2 linked regions of the Macaca mulatta genome follow. The protein of the gene in region 1 purifies or fractionates together with the protein of each later gene. This does not show direct contact. Links are inferred from orthologs where the notes say so. Each region holds a gene or a part of one and is shown in the gene's direction. Other genes may lie near its edges.

What was found.
Region 2: the proteins of CCT3 (region 1) and DCAF7 purify together in Homo sapiens (affinity purification with mass spectrometry; 4 studies listed by BioGRID and IntAct, counting the BioPlex papers as one, with this or other methods). This does not show direct contact. The link is inferred for Macaca mulatta from reciprocal best matches to the Homo sapiens genes CCT3 and DCAF7.

Annotation. Positions count from the first base shown.
Region 1 is NC_133406.1:110,605,989-110,609,800, forward strand, and holds part of CCT3 (T-complex protein 1 subunit gamma), read left to right. Parts: intron 1-1,598; coding exon 1,599-1,748; intron 1,749-2,741; coding exon 2,742-2,874; intron 2,875-3,039; coding exon 3,040-3,121; intron 3,122-3,812. UniProt on the Homo sapiens protein: Component of the chaperonin-containing T-complex (TRiC), a molecular chaperone complex that assists the folding of actin, tubulin and other proteins upon ATP hydrolysis.
Region 2 is NC_133421.1:73,348,518-73,352,897, forward strand, and holds the start of DCAF7 (DDB1- and CUL4-associated factor 7), read left to right. Parts: upstream 1-1,540; 5' UTR 1,541-1,773; coding exon 1,774-1,911; intron 1,912-4,380. UniProt on the Homo sapiens protein: Involved in craniofacial development. Acts upstream of the EDN1 pathway and is required for formation of the upper jaw equivalent, the palatoquadrate. The activity required for EDN1 pathway function differs between the first and second arches.

The DNA of each region.
Region 1 (3,812 bases):
AGGCACATGCCACTGTGCCCAGCTATTTTTTTTTTTCTTTTTGTGGAGATGAGGGTCTCATGTTGCCCAGGCTGGTCTTGAACTCCTGGCCTCAGGTGATCCTCCCACCTCAGGCTCCCAAAGTGCTGGGATTACAGGCATAAGCCATCGCACCCTACTTGAATGAAATAGTTTTAAATCAGGGCTAGGTATGTTTGTTTGTTTGATATGGAGTCTTGCTCTGTCGCCCAGAGGCTAGAATGCAGTGGTGCAATCTCAGCTCACTGTAGCCTCCACCTCCCAGGTTCAAGTTATTCTCCTGCCTCAGCCTTTAAAATAGCTGGGATTACAGATGCCCGCCACCACACCCAGCTAATTTCTTTCTGTATTTTAAGCAGAGACGGGGTTTCACTGTGTTAGCCAGGATGGTCTTGAACTCCTGACCTGAGGTGATCCGCCCATGTTGGCCTCTCAAAGTGCTGGGATTACAGGGTGACCCACTGCACCTGGCCAGAACAAGGTACCTTTAATTAGAACTGGGAAGAATTGGCCGGGCGCGGTGGCTCACGCCTGTAATCCCAGCACTTTGGGAGACTGAGGTGGGTGGATCATGCGGTTAGGAGATCGAGACCATCCTGGCTAACACAGTGAAACCCCATCTCTACTAAAAAAAAAAAAAAAATACAAAAAATCAGCCAGACGTGGTAGTGGGAGCCTGTAGTCCCAGCTACTCTGGAGGCTGAGGCAGGAGAATGGCGTGAACCTAGGAGGCGGAGCTTGCAGTGAGCTGAGATTGCGCCACTGCACTCTAGCCTGGGCAACAGAGCAAGACTCTGTCTCAAAAAAAAAAAAAAAAACGGGAAAGAACTATACTTGCTGCCTGGAAACAAAAACCTAAAGAGGCTACCATCCTGAAATAATTTTGTTGTTACCTTCACTGCTATCCCTACACAAGGTTTATAAGGACAAGGGACAGGCTTATTGGTGTCTCCATGTTTGTGTATTTGCATACATCAGTCATTTGATCAGGATATAAGCTTAACAAGGGCTCTATTATATAGTACTATTATAATGGTAAGCCCCAGAAAGCTTTCTCTCCTCTACTAAGTTTCATTAAGATCAAAAAGTTTAGTAGTATAGCTTGTGGCCAGTAGATGGAGCCCCAAGCCTAAAATTCTCTGGCAGCTTTTTTTTTTTTTTTTTTTTAATTGGAGAGACCTAAGCCCTTATTTATTTAAATAGCAATTGGGTCTCAATGTGTTGCCCAGGCTGGTCTCGAACTCCCAGCCTCGAGGGATCCTCCTGCCTGAGCCTCTTGAGTAGCTGGGATTTTAGGTGTGAGCCATTGTGCCTGACTCATAAGCCCCTCTAAGTCTTTTGTCAAGTCATTGAATTTCTGTGGGTCTCAGCTGACCTTCAAGTTGAGTGTCATGGTCTAAAATTGGTGTATTTCCTAGTGGGGAAAAAACGTGATTCCAACCATATTTTTGAACTTCATCAAAGAAAGGAACTTTAGAAACCTGAAACAGTGGCTATTTGGGAAAGATGAACATCTGGGAAGGAAATTAAGAAATTGTCTCTTGATTGTGGATTATAAAGTGCAGTTGTCTTTTGTTCAGATACCTGGGGGCATCATTGAAGACTCCTGTGTCTTGCGTGGAGTCATGATTAACAAGGATGTGACCCATCCACGCATGCGGCGCTATATCAAGAACCCTCGCATTGTGCTTTTGGATTCTTCTCTGGAATACAAGAAAGGAGAAAGCCAGGTAAGGTTCTTGGCCTTGTTCCTTAAAGTAGATGCAAGAATCTGACTACAAATATGAACAACAGAAATAAAAGGTATGTTTACTGCATGCCTTCTGGGTGCATAGTGTACACTGACTCTTAGAACAGTCCTTTAGTTGGTATTGATTCCATTTTATAGATGAGGGATCTGAAGCTCAGACAAGTTAGGTTAATTGCTCAAGGAATACAGCTGGTATTGGCCAAAATCAAGATTTGAACCTGGTCATGTTTGGCTTGTTTTATACTATCATGCGACCTTTCCTAATGTACCAGGGGAACATAAGGTAGGAGTTAATTCAGCTTTGAAGTACTAAAGGAGAATTTCAGCTGGATGCAGTGGCTCACACTTATAATCCTAGCACTTTGGGAGGCTAAGGTGGGTGGATGGCTTGAGCCCAAGAGTTCAAGACCAGCCTAGGCAACATGGCGAATACTGTCTTTATTTAAAAAAATTAACTGGGCGTGGTGGCACATGCCTGTAGTCCCCACCACTAAGGAGGCTGAAGCAAGAGGATTCTTGAACCCAGAAGGTCAAGGGTGCAGGGAGCTGTTATCACACCACTGAACTCCAGCCTGAGCAACAGTAAGACCTGTCTCAAAAAAAAAAAAAAAAAAATCTAGGGTGCAGGAGGCTCACAAGGCTCCATCACATTTGGAAAGAACAAGAATCAGTTAGTGGGAAGAATTAAGGCCTGGAATTTTCATGCACATTGCCAGGACAGATGTAGGATTGGACTGGGTGGTCAGAGTAGAAAGGCCAGACTCAACACTAATTGCTGTGTGACTTTCAGTTCTGGTTGTTTTATAATGATATAACTAGAGCTAAATTGGCTTACAGAGGTATTGAGGTCATGGCTTTAACATAATTCTGAGTCTGAGATACGTGGGAGACGTGGGTGGAGGGAGTATAGTAGGACCCTTAGAGCTTCACCAGTCCAGGGATTTTAAAATCGTGTCTTTCCTTTACCACATAGACTGACATTGAGATTACACGAGAGGAAGACTTCACCCGAATTCTCCAAATGGAAGAAGAGTACATCCAGCAGCTCTGTGAGGACATTATCCAACTGAAACCCGATGTGGTCATCACCGAAAAGGGCATCTCAGGTGGGACTTGTTAATTTTTCCAGCCTACCTTTGAGGTAGATGAGGGTGGGTGATTTGTTTTTTCCCCTCATGTTTGGCAGAGGCGTAATAGCATGATGGTTAGAGTACTTTGATTATAAAACCAGTTCAGAACCCAGTTTGACATCTGTACTCTTGGATTTGTAGATTTAGCTCAGCACTACCTCATGCGGGCCAATATCACAGCCATCCGCAGAGTCCGGAAGACAGACAATAATCGCATCGCTAGGTGAGTAGGCCAGGTAAAAATAAGACTTTTCTTCCCGTGTGTTTCCTTTTTGTAGTTGTATAACATAGTCATCATTACCTGAAAAGGTTTAATAAAGGATACAGTAACAGGTGGAAATAACCTTGGCTTAGCTGCCTGCCCTCTTCAGAAGTCCTCTAGTCCAATGGTTATTTACTGCATGAGTCTCATCTGTGCTGCCCCTAACCATTAGTGAGCAGCTCGTGCTTAGACATCTGTAATTGCTACCTTGGTGGGTGTCCATTACATTTCTAAATAACTGCCTATCAAAGAGGTTTTTTTTTAATGTCATTATGATGATTTTTGAATGAACATTTCCAGAATAGCCTGTTTTAAGTGGCCTGGATTATAGCAGAACCATCAGTTTCCTCAACTACATCCTTAGCTGCTGTTTATGCAACTCTAGATTGCATTCACTACTTTTGCACTGATGTCTGTGCTCAGAGACCATTCTTTTTAATAGACGAGGTCTTGCTGTATTAGCTAGGCCTGTCTCAAACTCCTGGGCTCAAACAGTCATCCTGTTATCAGCCTTCCCAGTACCTGGAACTATTGGCATGCACCACCATGCCCAGCAAAGTTCATTCGTTTTTAATACTAATTTATTAAAAAGCTGACAAATGTACCCCAACATAATATATCACAGATCCAAATCATCTTTTATACCTTTATA
Region 2 (4,380 bases), on another chromosome or scaffold:
AAGATAGTGCCACTGCACTAGAGCCTGGGCAACACAGCGAGACCCTGTCTCAAAAATAAAATAAAATAAAAAAATAAGGGGGATTTCTTGGGCAGATGTGGTGGCTCACGCCTATAATCCCAACACTTTGGGAGGCCAAGGCTGGCAGATCATTTGAGGTCAGGAGTTCGACACCAGCATGGTCAACATGGTGAAACCCTGTCTCTACTAAAAATACAAAAATTAGCTGGCCGTGGTGGTACACCCCTGTAATCCCAGCTACTCGGGAGGCTGAGGCAAGAGAATCACTTAAACCTGGGAGATGGAAAAATCATTTTCACTAAAAATTATATTTAGCGCCCAGAATGGTGGCTCAAGCCTGTAATCCCGGAACTTCTGGATGCTGATGTGGGAGGGTCGCTTGAGCCTAAGTTCGAGATCAGCCTGGGCAACATGGAGAGATCTCATCTCTACAAATAATTTAAAAATAGCTAGGTGTGGTGGCAAAAGTCTGTTGTTCCAGCTGCTCTGGAGGCTAAAGTGGAATCGTTTGAGCCTAGGCAGTCGAGGCTACAGTGAGCCCTTATCACACCAGTGCACTCCAGCCTGGGTGACAGGGCAAGACCCTGTCTTTAAAAAAAAAAAAAAAAAACTTTAATGTTATAATCCAACAATTCAATACAAACCTCCTTCAATTTTGATGAAAGCTAAGAATTGGAAACCATTTATATAAAGGTGTCACTTGGTCTCTGGCCCTTCTCCCTTTCAAACTCACAGGCACAGATACTTTTGGGGCTGGATTAGCATTTGCGTTGGGATGCACGGCGGGGAAGGTACAGGATGGGAACCGACAAAAACAGAGCCAAGCTGGTCAGGTCGGTGTCTACCCCAGAATTCGGGGACATTTCTAGATCCTGCAGGAAAGCGCGGGAGGACCTGACTCAAGCTGGCCTGGCCCTGAGCGCATCTGCGCCCCTGAAGCCTGGCCCTGAGGCCCGAAGACAGCAGCTTTCGGGTTAAAGGGGCCTTGGGAAGAGAAGGGGCAGGAAGGTGGTACCCGTTGCGCATAGGCCAGGCTGCCAGGCCGCGGGGCTCGGTCCCGCGAAAGTAGTAGGTCTTCCGCTAAAGCAGAATTGTACTTTTACTCGACAGCATGGAAAGGCCGCTCAGAACAGCAGCAGCAGAGGAGAAGTCAGCGCAGGTCACAGACAGTTTCACGCTCAGAGACTTGGCCTAGAACTTGGAGGCCCGCTACTCCAGCACGCTCGCCTCCCGGCCACCCACGCCCCCACCACCCGCACTGCGCCGTTATCTGCCTGACTGACATCTTGGTCAGCCAATGATCTTTGGGGCTGCCAAAGCTCCTGCCTCCGAGAGTTGGGCGGGGCGAGTAGTTGCAATGACAAACATTTAACCCAATAACGAGGAGATGTCACACGCTACGGCCGCAATAACCAATGAGAAGAAAGAATCCTTTCGAAAGGACGTGTCAGGCAACCAACGGCCGGTGGCGCTGCAGGGGTCCCGTGGCTTCCGTTCCGAGAGGGCGGGGCGGCGTCCCGAAACGGAAGGTGGTTGTCGTCGGTGCCCAAGCTGGTTTGAAACTAGGGGTCGGGTTCGGTCGTTGTCGTTGTTTGTCGCCGCATCCCCGCTTCCGGGGTAGGCCGTTCCTGCCCGCCCCCGCCCCTCCTCCCTTCGGACCCATAGATCTCAGGCCCGGCTCCCCGCCCGACTCGCACCCCGCCCGCCGCAGCCCACTGTTGACCCGGCCCGTACTGCGGCCCCGCCGCCACCATGTCCCTGCACGGCAAACGGAAGGAGATCTACAAGTATGAAGCGCCCTGGACGGTCTACGCGATGAACTGGAGTGTGCGGCCCGATAAGCGCTTTCGCTTGGCGCTGGGCAGCTTCGTGGAGGAGTACAACAACAAGGTGGGCCAGGCAGGGCCTCGGAACCCAGCTGGCGGGGAGCGGGCCCCGGGAGCGCCCTTTCCGGGCCGGAGCCCAGGCCCCAGAACCCTCCTGCGGACTCGCCTTAGGGCCATGGAGCGGTTCCAATGTCTGGCCCTGTGCTGAAGGTTTCGTACTCGTTGTCTGTCTCATTTAATCCCGGCAGCATTCTTGTGTAGTCGGCAGTGTAGTGGGGAAACTGAGTCACGGTTTTGTGACTTGCCTGGGTCAGGCAGCTATTTCGTGGTGGAAACAGGTCTTAAAACCGGGTTTACGCCCCAAAGATACTCCATTTATTCCTCCCGTGCTCTCCACTCCTGCCGCATTTTTTTCGTTGGTGGGCGGGGAAGGGAAGAGGGAGTGGTAGTTGTGAAGGAAAATGCAGACGCTTCTATTCGCGGTCGTGCACTCTTGGCCACACTAGATTTCTATTAAGACGATCTGTTGTACAAGCTTCCCCGCCCCCTACTCCCACACCCCGGGTGTGGATCCTAGCCCTTCTGCCAGAATTACTGTTGCTCTTGCTTCCTGATAACCATTCTCTCTAAAGCAATCTCTTTGGAAATCTTGGCCTGTGGCATGATCCCGCGGTTGTTTCCTGAACACAGGATGACAGGGCCTTATCTTTTGGCTTGTTTCATGCTAGTACAGTTGTGTGACCTTTAGTAGTAGATCTTGCTGGACATTCATCAATTTGAGAATCCTTTATAGAAGCACGGTGTCGTAGGGGAGCTTTTAAACTGGCATTGCAACATAAACTCATCTTTGAAAGCTGAATAAGTCAGTTGGAAGCATTTTCTTTGCTTTCTTCCTTTTACTCAATTAAAGTTGAATGATAGCGATCAGAGCAACTGAAAGCTGTGGCTAGTGATATTTAAAGCCACTACTGCCTTATGCCATGAGCATCAGATTTAAGAAGAGTAAAACTGGCTGGGCGCGGTGGTTCACGCCTGTAATCCCAGCACTTTGGGAGGCCGAGGCAGGCAGATTACCTGAGCTCAGGAGTTTGCGACCAGGCTGGGTAACAAGATGAAACGCTGTCTACTAAAATACAAAAAAAAAAAAAAAAAGAAGAAGAAGAAGAAAACTGTTCAGTGACAAGGCTCATGCAGGGGGGAAAAAGCCAGGTGGTCTAGGAGTGGGTCCTGTCTGGTTATTGACTAGCTGTGAGGTGTTGCACAGGCCTGTTTTATTATCTGTGACCCACAGTTTGCTGTAGGGAAGGGGTTCTGGTTTACATGTGAGGGTCTTGTAAAAAAGAAATTTGAATATTTTACAGTTTGTTTACAGTTTTTCAGGAGCACGTTTCTCTAGAGTAGGTCTTCTTTGGAGTCCTCTTTGAGAAGCTGATGAAAGCGATGGATTTTCATTGTCCAGACATTACACATACGTGAACATATTTACAAACAAATCCAAGCAATATGCACTGATCTTTAAGTTCACCCATTTCCCGGGCGAAATAGAGCTGTATTTCCTTTCCTCTGATGCTTCTTTCTTCCTTGTGGCCCATTGTGGACAGCTGAACTGGGAATGGGATTCAAGCTTCTGATGTGGACACCGTGTTAGTAAAATTAAGACCACTAGAACTATTGTTTAAGGATACACGTGGAAAATAAAAAAGTATGTCTTTCAAAGAGCTTAAGCTTAATTTTTCACACAAATTAATGTTTTTTTCCTGTGTGTTTTTCCAGTGTCACGGGGTAAACAATAGTTACTCCTATTCTCCAGAGAGGAGAAACTGAGCCACAGTTAGGCTGCTGGTAGAATCAATGGAGTAGTCAAACTGCTGTTGCAGGAACTCTACCCCAGTTTGTCCTTTCTTTTAGCAACTCTCTGGAGCTTCCTCTTTGTTCCAGGCACACAGGTAGCATGGCTTAGCAGCGAAATGCAAACTAATAACCCCACTATCAACAGCGTAAGCAGTTAGCTATATCTTAACTCACATGATGTAGGCAATGTGCTGTCTTAAAATCATTTTTGTGCCTCCACCTGTCAGTAGGTCAGGGTTCTTAAATTCTGTGTGCTATGATCATCTGATACCAATAGACCCCTTCTCATAGTTATGTTTTCAAATGCATAGAACACGTAGAATTACAAAAGAAACCACTTACGTTGCACTACAGATATAAACATGTTTTTAGAAGTGGTGATGTAGTCATATGTACTTTTAATAAATTAACATATTGATTTACACCATCCAGTGTAATTATTAATGTAATTTTGAAGTGGTGACAAGGGTAAACAGCATTTCAAGATGCTTAACTGCACCGTGGTGGGAAAAAATATTTCTCTTGCTGGTGAAGTCACAGATACTTATGCCACTGTGAGCACCTAACCCATTTGTAATTGAAGGAAATAAAACATATTTAGCTAGAGGTGAATGGAAATATGGGCGTGATTTTCCAATTCAAGTTCACAGACCCCAAGTTAAGAAACCCTGCGAGACAGGAT